Linked DNA regions of Tribolium castaneum. The protein of the gene in region 2 binds, or shares a complex with, the protein of the main gene of each other region. Links are inferred from orthologs where the notes say so. Each region holds a gene or a part of one and is shown on either strand. Other genes may lie near its edges.

Evidence for each region.
Region 1: TfIIA-L (region 2) and Polr2F share a complex: the UniProt entries of both Homo sapiens proteins name them as parts of the TBP-based Pol II pre-initiation complex. The link is inferred for Tribolium castaneum from reciprocal best matches to the Homo sapiens genes GTF2A1 and POLR2F.

What each region holds. Positions count from the first base shown.
Region 1 is NC_087398.1:1,179,383-1,185,760, forward strand, and holds Polr2F (DNA-directed RNA polymerases I, II, and III subunit RPABC2), read left to right. Parts: upstream 1-3,915; coding exon 3,916-4,311; 3' UTR 4,312-4,357; downstream 4,358-6,378. Other genes in the region: Kua (plasmanylethanolamine desaturase 1), read left to right, coding at 1,590-1,801, 1,845-2,063, 2,232-2,492; probable ATP-dependent RNA helicase DDX23, read right to left, coding at 4,370-4,587, 4,683-6,378. UniProt on the Homo sapiens protein: DNA-dependent RNA polymerase catalyzes the transcription of DNA into RNA using the four ribonucleoside triphosphates as substrates.
Region 2 is NC_087395.1:25,196,058-25,204,497, reverse strand, and holds TfIIA-L (transcription initiation factor IIA subunit 1), read left to right. Parts: upstream 1-1,315; 5' UTR 1,316-1,524; coding exon 1,525-2,012; intron 2,013-2,254; coding exon 2,255-2,705; 3' UTR 2,706-2,969; downstream 2,970-8,440. UniProt on the Homo sapiens protein: TFIIA is a component of the transcription machinery of RNA polymerase II and plays an important role in transcriptional activation. TFIIA in a complex with TBP mediates transcriptional activity.

The DNA.
Region 1 (6,378 bases), on a different chromosome or scaffold from region 2:
GATGTTAGCATTCTTTCGACAGGTCATCAAAATTATTACACTGACGTTTTCTTAAACAACAGCCCACATCAAAATTACTAAAACGTGATTATTGTCAATAAAATGATTTATTCCCCGATTTAAAAATTTGGCTATTTTTGATGCGCTTCCGGGTTGTATTATTATCCCTAATACCTGGCTTTAGTCCCTATTAACGTAACAAGTTCGTGGAGAATTTTTCTCATTAAAGAATCCTAACAAAATAAAATAAAAGAATCGCTATAATTTAACAAATTACCTTTAATCGCAACGCATTTGGAAAAATAATTGAACTGAAACTCATTCCTTGATAACAATCATTTGGGATTGTTTCCTTAAATAGAATTAGAACTAAAACAAGTGGTGGTTTTTTCAATTCTATGTTCAAGTGGTACAATAAAATTTTACTACCAAGGTTTGCAAAATAAAGGCGTGTTTTAATACGTCATTAGAGGGTGATTAATCTGCTAGATAATTTCAGTCGACTATAATCACCATGAAAAATGCCAAGTGTGTAAAAATAATCGTATTTTAAGTAATTAACTTTCCGTTTTTTCCGTAAATAGCAACATCTGTAGCACAAAATTAGTCACTGCACAAATACAGGTGTTAATTTTTTTCAAAAACCAAAATTTTGTAAGAAATGATTAAAAAAGAATAAATTCTGAAATTTTCTACCACAAAACTTGTTTTTTGCTGACGGTTGTGTCCAGCTAATCTATAATTAAATAAGATTTCCCTTGTGGATTACCGTAATAGGTTTTGCTGAAGTTGGCAGTTGTATTAAATTATTTCAGTTTTACGAAAAATAGTTATATATAGTTATGTACAGTTAGTTGTCGTGTTTTTTACATTCATACATGTTGTATGAGAAAATTTAAATTATGTCTCCATAGAGGAATTAATGCTGAAAAGTGAGGCCTTGTTATCATCACTAACGTTTGCTTTAGATTAACCTTTTTGCTTAACTTAGCTTGCGGTTACGTGTAATTACAATACAATAAAAGATTTGCAACGACACAAAGCATCATGCAGATACGTGTCAATCTGTACGTACGAAGCTACTTCACCTTTAACTAAATTTACATAAAATAAGTCGTAACATGTTCAAGAAATGTGTTTAAATATTCGGATTTAGAACAGAAACGTGTTATCATTCGTAAGTTTTTGGCAAAATTAAATTATCACTCGAGTGGTAATAAATCCGTTACGAAATTACGTCAAGGTACAAAAAAGGAAACCACCTCTCGATGACATAATATCTCGCGAAAATGAATCATTGTAGTTTCACGCTATAGTGAGCGTTAAAACGTAAAAAATGCCACTTTAATTCGTGTTTTATTGATGTGTTTGTCTAATCGACAGTGTGTTTTATTCTGATAGGTGCTTATTTAGGAAGAATCGATCTTGTCGTCGATATTACTTAGCACAAGTTCGTTTATTATGCATTGATGACATTTCATATTATTCCGATGACCCATTAAACTCGATTATTTTTAATATTCCTCCTAGTTTACACTAATACTGGGCCCAAGTGTAATTAGCCGAGTCACACCGCTCCCTTTTTGCAGGGAAGCGGACTCAGGAATGCATCTGCGTGGGAATCTGCTTGACCCTTATGGTGGTCAACTTCTTCTTCATAATATTCCACGTCCGTATGGACAACTTGAGCACGATTTTGGTGGCGGCGTTTTGCGGCATTGTGACGGCGGATTTCGGCTCGGGACTCGTGCACTGGGCGGCCGACACGTGGGGCTCGGTGGAGCTCCCCATCTTGGGCAAAGTGAGTGGAGAGCGAAATGTTTGATATTTTAAATTTTGTGTAGAATTTTTTGCGGCCGTTCCGCGAACACCACATCGATCCGACGTCCATCACCCGCCACGACTTTATCGAAACCAACGGTGATAACTTCATGGTGACCATTCCGTTTCTGGCGAGGATGGTTTGGGATTTTCTGACGCTGCCTGCGGACGGGGTCGAGAGGAAGTTCACGTGGAATTGCTACGTGTTTCTGTTGGCGATTTTCGTGGCAATGACCAATCAGGTAGAGTTAATTATTGATTCGAATTAATTCCTCGGGTCGTGTGTGCGCTTTTAGATCAGCTCGCGATATAATACTTTATAAAATGATAGGGCCCGTGGCAAACACGCACACCTGGGGTAACGCGCCCGATAAATCTGAGTTCATTTGCTGATTGGAGCCACTTTCCAGATACACAAGTGGTCGCACACCTACTTCGGGCTGCCGGCGTGGGTGGTGTGGCTGCAGGAGCACCATGTGATTCTGCCGAGGCGCCACCACCGCATCCACCATGTGGCCCCGCATGAGACCTACTTTTGCATCACCACCGGGTGGCTCAATTGGCCGTTGGAGAAGCTGCGCTTTTGGAGCATCCTAGAGCTGCTGATTGAACACACCACGGGCTACAAACCGCGGGCTGATGATATGAAGTGGGCGCAAAAGGGCACGTGATATTTTTGTCTTTGTTATGAATGGGGTTTGTTTTGTTAGTTCTACGTGTCTGTGGAATAATTGCCAAAAGTTCATTTAGTTGATTTAGCGATTTATTGGTGATAGAGAACACCACGTTTTGTTCGATTCAATAAATACATAATCAAGTGCCTGATTTTAAGATTGGACAACGAATGTAATGTACTTTTATTGTTACAAAATCATGTTAACCATTGGGGACCAAGCGATGGGCCTTGGGCCAATTTTTTAAATGTTTAATAGTTCTTACAATTTAGCCTAATGATTTGATCAATTTTAGATTTATTGAAGCTAGTCTTAAACACTCCAGGGATAATCTACACGCACTACCAAAGTAGTTAGAGTGCCTGATTTAGGTACTTTATGAATCATTATCATTACAAACACGCTTAACACCCAGTAGGGTAATTTGTACGACTTATGACTAGGCTAAGGTTTTTAATTCTCAACTTGTTTGCAATTATTTAATTATTTGAGCTTTATGACGAGCTCCGTCTGCGTTTTATTCAATTAATCAATAAGCAGTCGTACGCTAGAAACTACCACAAAAAATGGTTTGTTAACTAGACAAACACTGTGATTTAAACATCGCAATAAATCGCAGTTATTTTTACCATTTCTAGACAAAACTGCAATGGTGCGCTCAGCTCCATTTGCGTGTGCGTCATCTGACATTTCTCTCACTACGTTTACACAGCAGGGGCATAGCGGTGACAAACTATCAAATATTTTTTGAGGTTACGAAGTTGTTACAAAAAATACAGATTCACAAAACAAGAACTAATAAACGCAGAATCAAAAACCTAACGAAACGCAAATCACAAAACACAATAAACGAACAGAAAATACTTACGATTAACACCGATAACACACACTTTCGACAACGATGCGACGACGTCTATAATTTACTGTCAATGTCAATTAATGTTCAAGGATACCACCCTTAGATAGCCCTTAGCTGTTTAAATTTGCATTGTTTTTGACAATTTTTATAGCTTTGTGTTGGTAATGAAAAAATGAAATTGACGCACACGCAAATCGAGCTGACCGCCACTATAATAGACAAGACGGTATTTTATAAAGTCTGGAACAAATGCAATTATTTTATACAATAAAGTTGCTTGAATTTAATGTGTTTTATTTTTTTCGCACCAAATTGTTAACTAAACTTAAAAAAATCGTAACAATCAAAATTTCATCAAAAAAAGTTTTTATCGCAACTGCGACGCAACCAACAATACACTAAAGTAAAAGTATTGTTTGAACCGATAACAAGTTTCGGACTGATGCACTTTCGTGCAACTCTCCAATAACCAATACTTTTGACGTTTGACGCATTTGACATCTGAACGTTGTGCTATGTTTGTGTATGCCTTTAAATTAGTCAATTAGCTAGAAATCGAGAATGAATGACGAAGAATTCGACGGTGATGACGTGGGGGACGACTTCGACGACGACGTCGATGACGACAACATCGAGGAGCTGGAGCAGCCCGAGGAGGAAGGCGACAACATCGACATCCTCGCTCATGGCCAAGCCGGGGGCGGAGTGCCCAAAAACAAACGCATAACAACCAAATACATGACCAAATACGAAAGAGCTCGTGTTTTGGGAACAAGAGCTTTGCAAATCGCCATGTGTGCCCCAGTTATGGTGGAACTAGACGGAGAGACAGACCCGCTTCAAATCGCAATGAAAGAACTCAAACAACGGAAAATCCCCATCATAATCCGGCGTTATTTACCCGACCACTCGTACGAGGATTGGGGCATAGACGAACTCATAATAATTGACCACTAGTGTAATAAGATTTTGTTTTTAAGAATAAAGGCTAAGTAAACATCGAGTTTTATTTTAATTAAGCGAAAATCATTTCGTCGCGGCGGCGTTTCGGCTGATTGGGCCGAATCTGGCATTCAGGGTGGTTCATTAGTTCAGGGGGGCACGTTGAGACAGGTGACGATAGCAACATTTGCTTCAAATCGTAAAATAGGGCCGAGTCGTCGTTGGTGCAAAAACTGATAGCCACCCCGCTCTTCCCGGCACGGCCGGTTCGGCCAATACGATGGGTGTAATCTGAAAAAAAATAAACAAATTACAGATTAGATTTCCTTTTTTCTTCAGTTTGCACTAGTCATAAAGAAAAAAAATCTGGGACAAACTTATCTTACCTTCAATAGTCTTGGCCATGTCGTAATTAATAACAACGGAAACATCCTTAATATCAATCCCTCTCCCAGCCACGTCAGTGGCCACCAAAATGTCCTTAGCCCCCGACTTGAGACTAGCCAGTGCGTACTCTCTCTGCTCCTGCCCCTTACCCCCATGGAGCGTACACGCATTGTAGCCCAACTTCTCCAACCCTTTGGCCAAAACATCGGCCCCTTTCTTCTGATTAACAAAAATAATAATCGGTGGATCGACCCCTTTGGACAAATACTCCATCAACTTCTTCCTCTTATCGTTCTCAGTCATAATATGCACAATTTGTTCGACCCGTTCCGTCGGTTTCCCGATCGAACCAATGTACACAACCGCCGGACGTCTCAAATACGTCCTCGCCAGTCGCTCAACCGCCGGTGGCATAGTTGCCGTAAACATCACCGTTTGCCGATATTTCTTCTTACTGTTGTAATTCGCCAAAATTATTTTACTATCTTCCGCTTCTTCCGAGTCCGGTTTCAAGTTAGTGACCGGCATGTACTCCAAAATTTTTTGCACATCTGCCTCAAATCCCAAATCAATCATGCGATCGGCTTCGTCCATAACAATGTACGTGCACTGGTTCAGGACCAAGTAGCGATTTTCCAAAACATCAATAAGTCGTCCCGGGGTTGCAATAACAATCTCGCACCCCATTCGCAGCCTAAAACCTTGCTCCTCGCGACTTAAACCGCCCACAACCACCACAGTGCGGATCCCCAACGGTTGGCCAAACTTCACCGTCTCCTCCTCGATCTGTTGGGCCAATTCACGCGTGGGGGCTAAAATAATGGCATAGGGGCCCTGATCGGCATCTTCAGTGCGTTCGATTTTCGGGAGCGATTGAATCCAGGATAAAAGCGGGATCAAAAACGCAAGCGTTTTGCCCGAACCGGTCTCCGCAACCCCGATAATATCCCGGTTCTGCATCCCGATGGGAATCGCCTGTCTCTGGATGGGGGTTGGTTCCTTGTAGCCCACTTTATCGATGATTTCCAGCAGCTCTTTCTGGATGCCTGACTCTTTCCAGGAGCGGATGGGTTCCGGGATTTTGCCGCCTTTGATTGTGATGTTGTAATCTTCGCGGAAAATGCGCCAATCACGCTCGGTCATTTCCGAGACGTCTTTCTCCGACCAGTGGCGATCGTCCCACAGTTGCTTCTCTTCCTTACGTCTGACTTTCTTCAACCTGACTTTTTCCTGGGCTTTTTCCGCTTCGGTGCGGCGTTTTTCGAGTAGTTCGCCGTAGAATTTGCTTTGGTCGCGTTTTTGGGCCTTGATGTCGATTCCGGCGAGGTTTCCGCGGCCGAAAAATTGCACCTGGTGGCGCTCTTTGTACAAGGGATTGTAGTCCTGGGACGTGTCCTCACCGGCGTCCCAGTCGAACACGAACTTTCGGTCGTTCAAACGCCTAACTCGTCGCTTCTTTTTTATCAAACCCAAGTAGCGTTCTTTAATCGCGTCGGATTCCTTCTCCCTGTCTTTATCCTTCTGTTTGTCTTCGTCTTTTTCGCGATCACGCGGCCGCCGAAACTCCCGGTCATCCTTTCTCTGTTCCTCCTGTCTGGAAGCTTGCACGTTTTCGATTATTTTCCGTTCGGCTTCTTGTTGTTTCCTCAAACGGTCAACTTCCTCCTGACGACGTTTCAACGCCTCTGCGGCTCG
Region 2 (8,440 bases):
AAATTTAATGAGTATTAACACTTGCCTTCAAGAAAGTGAAAAAAAAATTTTTTTAATGTGTTCTATCATAGTTTTTCGTACTTATATGTGCCTTTACAACCCTCTAGGGTTGTTAAAAGTTCAAAAAAAATCCTTATGTTCGATTTTTTAATATTTGATTTTTTCAATTTTCGTCGCAGTTTTTGTCGGTTTTGGGTACCCGGAACATTTCTCGAGCAATAGCTCCGGAACTATTAGAGATAACCCCATGAAGTGTATTATCGTTGGAAAGCTCTTTTAATTGTCTATCTTTTTCAAAAAAGATCTTTGCTCTCCGACTAATAGTTTTCGAGAAAATTGCAGATAAATGCAAAAATTGGTAAAATTTTAAAAAATTCGTAACCAAAAAACTAGTGGGAATTTGGCAATTTTCTCGACGCCAATCGATTCCCTGGATCATTTTGCATAGGTAAAGATCAAAACAGTTCCCCTTTTTCGAATAGTTTAGTCGTAATTGAGAATATAATAAAAATTAAAAATAAATTAAGACCTCCCTCCCCTCCAAAATGGCCATTTTTAAAAGTGTCTCAGAATCAAATAACACTTATCCTTTCTTATAGATTTTGATGTGCTCTTTACGATGGAAAAAAGAGTTTTTTCCTAGCTCTTTTAGTTTGGCCGTAATCGGCGATTGAAAATTATAAAACTTTTTGCGAGATATCGCTTTGAGTCCTATGCCATTTTGTAGAGTTTTTATTGCGCTTTTCTACAATTCTTCCGTTTTTAGATAACTCTAATAATTTCGCCGTAATCGGCAGTTGAAAATGGAAAAAAAGCGAAGATGGAAACTTTATTTGCGTTTTTCTCGGAAACTCTAAGACTTAGAGAATCAAACTAAAAAAACGGATGGCGCTTAAAATTATCTATTTTTTCGTCCAAACCCGGAGCTGCTCCGGGCAACGGTTCCGGTTACAGAGGCAATTAAAGTTTTACACTAAAAAAAATCATAACCCAAAAAGTAAAAGTCGTTGGGCAATGCGGTTTGTTTCATTTTCTTTGTTATACCAGCTTTTTTTACGAGATTAAAAATTTTGATTTTTTTTGCTAAATTCTGCTATATCGTAAATTAACTTAATTTTTGTATTTCGCGGTAAAATAATTCGGGCAGCCATTTTGTGCTTTAGTCAACCCACAATACACCACTTTTTTACTATTTTCTTATTGCTTAAATCTCTTTTTTGTACCCATAAAAACCCCACGACTCACTAATCACCATACGACTTTTTTGTCGTGGTAGTAATTTTTTGTGATAAGAATTGATAAAAACTCTTCATTCCGGCGCTTGCGCACTATCCCCGATCGCGTCCTGCCGTTACCCCAAAATTTTCCTCATCTCTCGCCTTCATTTTCCATCAAAATGTCGGCCATCTGATTTCCCTAACCTCAAAAGTGCATATGTGCGCGTAAAAATGCCATTATCGCCCGTTTCCACTCTCGGAAACCGTTCATAATCAGCTTAACGTAGTGTGGTGCGCCCCCAAGGCCATGTCGAACTCCCTGTGCAAGACTTCGGTGCTCCGCATCTACCAGGAGGTGATCGACGACGTGATCAGCGGCGTCCGCGAGATCTTCCTGGAGGACGGCGTCGACGAGCAGGTCCTCCAGGAGCTGAAGCAGACCTGGGAGACCAAGCTCAAGGCCAGCAAGGCGGTGCAGAGCGAGGAGGAGAAGGCGAAGAAGGCGGAGATGACCGCCACCAACGGCTTCCCCAAGCAGCATGTGGCGCAGCCGGCGGCAGCCCCCGTGGGGCAGATCGCCGAGACGAAGATGGTCCCCATCCAGATCACGCTCCCGGCGCAGCCCGGCAGCGACCAGGGCCCCAGGATACTCACGATACAGGTCCCCGCCACGGCGCTCCAGGGGAACCAGCTCCAGAAGGTGCTCACGGGGCAGATCATCACGGGGATGATGAATTTGCCCGCCAATATTGCGTCTTCGGTGCTCCAGCAGCACGTCAACGCGGTGTTTAACAGGTAGTCAGTTAGCCCCCTTTTAACTTAAATCGTCCACGCAAAATGTTTTCGGGTCACCCTGTACAAAGAAAAATACATGTTTTGTGCACACTTATGCAGATATTTTTGTCAATAATTGTTTTAAAAATTTTCTAATTATTGTTTAAAATTTTATCGGATTTTTAATAATGTTCTCTTCGGAATAAATAAAAAAGCTTGTAATAATTGTAGTTTTTTGTTATGAGATAACGTGTTTTTAACAGCCAGCAGCAGCAGATCGTGACCATTGTCAACCGAAACATCGCCCAGACGGACGGAAGCCACGCCGAGGAGGAGGAGGAGGAACAAATCGAAATCGAGTTTATTTTGCCTAGGAAGAAGGTGCCCCAGGTGGACGGCCCCGTGGACACGTCCGACGACGATGAGGACGGGTCTGACGACGATAACGACGACGAGGATATCGATGACGATAAGGACGAAGAGGATCAAGAAATGGAGGAAGAAGGTGGTGAAGAAGAGCCCCTGAACTCCGAAGACGATGTGACTGATGACGACCCAACTGATTTGTTCGATACTGATAACATCGTTGTTTGTCAGTACGATAAAATCATAAGAAATAGGAATAAGTGGAAATTTTATTTGAAAGATGGGATAATGAACTTGAGTGGACAAGATTATGTCTTCCAAAAGGCTAACGGTGATGCGGAATGGTAATTAGTGTTTTTTAAGAAGTTTTGTTTTTTTTTTATTATTTTCAAGTCACTTGCACGCAAAACCCGTCACTTATTCAAGGGAACGTTGGGTTCCGACTTAAGTTATTGAACTTTTGTATGTAAAATGGGAGAATAGCCTGAGTTGTAGAATTGTGTTATCCATTATAAATGTAACTAATAATAGGCGTTTAGATTTAATCGAAATTTTTACTATGTATTATCAATTATCGATAGCCGTTTGTGAATAAAACTATTTTTGAAGTTACACCATTGGTCGTTTTTCTAACACCTGGAAGATGACAAAAATCGCAAATTAGCAGCTCTTTTGAAAAAAAATCATAACTCAAAAACTAAAAATCGTAGAGCAATGCCTATAATGGAAAATTATATTCAACAAAAAAATTCATAATTCGAAAACTAAAAGTCGTAGAGCAGTGCGGTTCGTTCCATTGGATTCAGCGCCTTTTTTTCTCTATTATACTAATTTTTCACGCAATTTAAAATTTTCAATTTTTTTGCTCAAATTTCCTGAGTTATACACTTACTTACCTTCAAAGAGGTGAAAAAAAATTTTTTTTAAACTAACTCCAGCAAATTTTTATGGACTTCTACATGTCTTAACAACTCACAAAAGTTGTTAAAAGTCCACAAAAAGTCCAAATGTTCGATTTTTTGATGTTTGATTTTTTCAATTTTCGTCGCAGTTTTTGTCGGTTTTGGGTACCCGGAACATTTCTCGAGCAATAGCTCCGGAACTATTAGAGATAACCCCATGAAGTGTATTATCGTTGGAAAGCTCTTTAAATTATCTATCTTTTTCAAAAAAGATTATTGTTCTCCGACTAATAGTTTTCGAGCAATTTGCTGCTAAATGCAAAAATTGGTAAAATTTTAAAAAATTCATAACTAAAAAACTATTGGGAATATGGCAATTTTCTCGATGCCAATCGATTCCCCGGATCATTTTGCATAGGGGTGGATCAAAACAGTTCCACTTTATTGAATAGTTTAGCCGTAAATGAGAAAATAAAAAAAATTAAAAAAAAGTTAACACCCCCCCCCCTTAAAATCGGTCAATTTTTAAAGTGTCTCAAAATCAAATGAAACCTATTCTATCTTATAGATTTTGATGTGCTCTTTACAATGGAACAAACCTTTTTCTTCTAGCTCTTTTAGTTTGCCCGTAATCGGCGTTTGAAAATTGAAAAATTTTTTGCGAGATATCGCCTTGAGTCCTATGCCATTTTGTAGAGTTTTTTATTCCGGTTGTCCTCCATTTTTCCGTTTCTCGAAAACTCTAATAGTTTCGCCGTAATTGGCGGTTGAAAATTGAAAAAAAGTGAAAATGGAAACCTTTTTTTGCGTTTTTCTCGGAAACTGTAAGACTTAGAGCAACGAACAAAAAAACATCTGATAGCGCTTAATTTTATCTATTTTTTCGACTAAACCCGGAGCCGCTCCGGGCAACGGTTCCGGCTACAGAGGCGATTAAAGTTTTTCACTAAAAAAATTCATAAAAAAAAAACTAAAAGTCGTAGAGCAATGCGGTTTGTTCGGTTGAATTCTACGGCTCATTTTACATAATATATAAATTTTTCACAACAATTAAAAATTTAAAATTTTTTGCCTAAATTTAGGGTAGCCATTTGTCATAGCGAAAAATTTTATTCATTAAAAAAATTCATAACTCGAAAACTAAAAGTCGTAGAGCAGTGCGGTTTGTTCGATTGAATTCTACGGCTCATTTTACATATTATATCGATTTTTCACAAGAATTAAAAATTTAAAATTTTTTGCCTAAATTTAGGGTAGCCATTTGTCCGTGAAAACTTTTATTCCTTAAAAAAATTCATAACTCGAAAACTAAAAGTCGTAGAGCAGTGCGGTTTGTTCCATTGGATTCAGCGGCTTTTTTTCTCTATTCTACCAATTTTTCACGCAATTTAAAATTTTCAATTTTTTTGCTAAAATTTCCTGAATAAAATACACTACTTACCATCAAAGAGGTGAAAAAAAAAATTTTTTTAACTAACTCCAGCAAATGTTTATGGACCTCTACATATCTTAACAACCCACAAAAGTTGTTAAAAGTCCACAAAAAGTCCAAATGTTCGATTTTTTGATGTTTAATTTTTTTCAATTTTCATCGCAGTTTTTGTCGGTTTTGGGTACCCGGAACATTTCTCGAGCAATAGCTCCGGAACTATTAGAGATAACCCCATGAAGTGTATTATCGTTGGAAAGCTCTTTAAATTATCTATCTTCTTCAAAAAAGATTATTGTTCTCCGACTAATAGTTTTCGAGCAATTTGCTGCTAAATGCAAAAATTGGTAAAATTTAAAAAAATTCATAACTAAAAAAATATTGGGAATATGGCAATTTTCTCGATGCCAATCGATTCCCCGGATCATTTTGCATAGGGATGGATCAAAACAGTTCCACTTTATTGAATAGTTTAGCCGTAAATGAGAAAATAAAAAAAATTAAAAAAAAGTTAACACCCCCCCCTTAAAATCGGTCAATTTTTAAAGTGTCTCAAAATCAAATGAAACCTATTCCATCTTATAGATTTTGATGTGCTCTTTACGATGGAACAAACCTTTTTCTTCTAGCTCTTTTAGTTTGGCCGTAATCGGCGTTTGAAAATTGAAAAATTTTTTGCGAGATATCGCCTTGAGTCCTATGCCATTTTGTAGAGTTTTTTATTCCGGTTATCCTCCATTTTTCCGTTTCTCGATATCTTTAATAGTTTCGCCGTAATTGGCGATTGAAAATTGAAAAAAAGTGAAAATGGAAACCTTTTTTTGCGTTTTTCTCGGAAACTGTAAGACTTAGAGCAACGAACAAAAAACCATCTGATAGCGCTTGATTTTGTCTATTTTTTTGATTAAACCCGGAGCCGCTCCGGGCAACGGTTCCGGCTACAGAGGCGATCAAAGTTTTTCACTAAAAAAATTCATAAAAAAAAAACTAAAAGTCGTAGAGCATTGCGGTTTGTTCCATTGAATTCTACGGCTCATTTTACATATTATATCAATTTTTCACAAGAATTAAAAATTTAAAATTTTTTGCCTAAATTTAGGGTAGCCATTTGTCATAGCGAAAAATTTTATTCATTAAAAAAATTCATAACTCGAAAACTAAAAGTCGTAGAGCAGTGCGGTTTGTTCGATTGAATTCTACGGCTCATTTTACATATTATATCGATTTTTCACAAGAATTAAAAATTTAAAATTTTTTGCCTAAATTTAGGGTAGCCATTTGTCACAGTGAAAACTTTTATTCATTAAAAAAATTCATAACTCGAAAACTAAAAGTCGTAGAGCAGTGCGGTTTGTTCGATTGAATTCTACGGCTCATTTTACATATTATATCAATTTTTCACAAGAATTAAAAATTTAAAATTTTTTGCCTAAATTTAGGGTAGCCATTTGTCACAGTGAAAACTTTTATTCATTAAAAAAATTCATAACTCGAAAACTAAAAGTCGTAGAGCAGTGCGGTTTGTTCCATTGGATTCAGCGGCTTTTTTTCTCTATTATACTAATTTTTCACGCAATTTAAAATTTTCAATTTTTTTGCTCAAATTTCCTGAGTAATAAATACACTTACTTACCCAAAGAGATGAAAAAACAATTTTTTTAAACTTACTCCAGCAAATTTTTATGGACCTCTACATATCTTAACAACCCACAAAAGTTGTTAAAAGTCCACAAAAAGTCCAAATGTTCGATTTTTTGATGTTTGATTTTTTCAATTTTCATCGCAGTTTTTGTCGGTTTTGGGTACCCGGAACATTTCTCGGGCAATAGCTCCGGAACTATTAGAGATAACCCCATGAAGTGTATTATCGTTGGAAAGCTCTTTAAATTATCTATCTTTTTCAAAAAAGATTATTGTTCTCCGACTAATAGTTTTCGAGCAATTTGCTGCTAAATGCAAAAATTGGTAAAATTTAAAAAAATTCATAACTAAAAAACTATTGGGAATATGGCAATTTTCTCTATGCCAATCGATTCCCCGGATCATTTTGCATAGGGATGGATCAAAACAGTTCCACTTTATTGAATAGTTTAGCCGTAAATGAGAAAATAAAAAAAATTAAAAAAAAGTTAACACCCCCCCCTTAAAATCGGTCAATTTTTAAAGTGTCTCAAAATCAAATGAAACCTATTCTGTCTTATAGATTTTGATGTGCTCTTTACGATGGAACAAACCTTTTTCTTCTAGCTCTTTTAGTTTGGCCGTAATCGGCGTTTGAAAATTGAAAAATTTTTTGCGAGATATCGCCTTGAGTGCTATGCCATTTTGTAGAGTTTTTAATTCCGGTTATCCTCCATTTTTCCGTTTCTCGATATCTTTAATAGTTTCGCCGTAATTGGCGATTGAAAATTGAAAAAAAGTGAAAATGGAAACCTTTTTTTGCGTTTTTCTCGGAAACTGTAAGACTTAGAGCAACGAACAAAAAACCATCTGATAGCGCTTGATTTTGTCTATTTTTTTGATTAAACCCGGAGCCGCTCCGGGCAACGGTTCCGGCTACAGAGGCGATCAAAGTTTTTCACTAAAAAAATTCATAAAAAAAAAACTAAAAGTCGTAGAGCATTGCGGTTTGTTCCATTGAATTCTACGGCTCATTTTACATATTATATCAATTTTTCACAAGAATTAAAAATTTAAAATTTTTTGCCTAAATTTAGGGTAGCCATGTCATAGCGAAAAATTTTATTCATTAAAAAAATTCATAACTCGAAAACTAAAAGTCGTAGAGCAGTGCGGTTTGTTCGATTGAATTCTACGGCTCATTTTACATATTATATCGATTTTTCACAAGAATTAAAAATTTAAAATTTTTTGCCTAAATTTAGGGTAGCCATTTGTCATAGCGAAAAATTTTATTCATTAAAAAAATTCATAACTCGAAAACTAAAAGTCGTAGAGCAGTGCGGTTTGTTCGATTGAATTCTACGGCTCATTTTACATATTATATCAATTTTTCACAAGAATTAAAAATTTAAAATTTTTTGCCTAAATTTAGGGTAGCCATTTGTCATAGCGAAAAATTTTATTCATTAAAAAAATTCATAACTCGAAAACTAAAAGTCGTAGAGCAGTGCGGTTTGTTCGATTGAATTCTACGGCTCATTTTACATATTATATCGATTTTTCACAAGAATTAAAAATTTAAAATTTTTTGCCTAAATTTAGGGTAGCCATTTGTCAGTGAAAACTTTTATTCCTTAAAAAAATTCATAACTCGAAAACTAAAAGTCGTAGAGCAGTGCGGTTTGTTCCATTGGATTCAGCGGCTTTTTTTCTCTATTATACCAATTTTTCACGCAATTTAAAATTTTCAATTTTTTTGCTAAAATTTCCTGAATAAAATACACTACTTACCATCAAAGAGGTGAAAAAAAAAATTTTTTTAACTAACTCCAGCAAATTTTTATGGACCTCTACATATCTTAACAACCCACAAAAGTTGTTAAAAGTCCACAAAAAGTCCAAATGTTCGATTTTTTGATGTTTGATTTTTTCAATTTTCATCGCAGTTTTTGTCGGTTTTGGGTACCCGGAACATTTCTCGAGCAATAGCTCCGGAACTATTAGAGATAACCCCATGAAGTGTATTATCGTTGGAAAGCTCTTTAAATTTTCTATCTTTTTCAAAAAAGATTATTGTTCTCCGACTAATAGTTTTCGAGCAATTTGCTGCTAAATGCAAAAATTGGTAA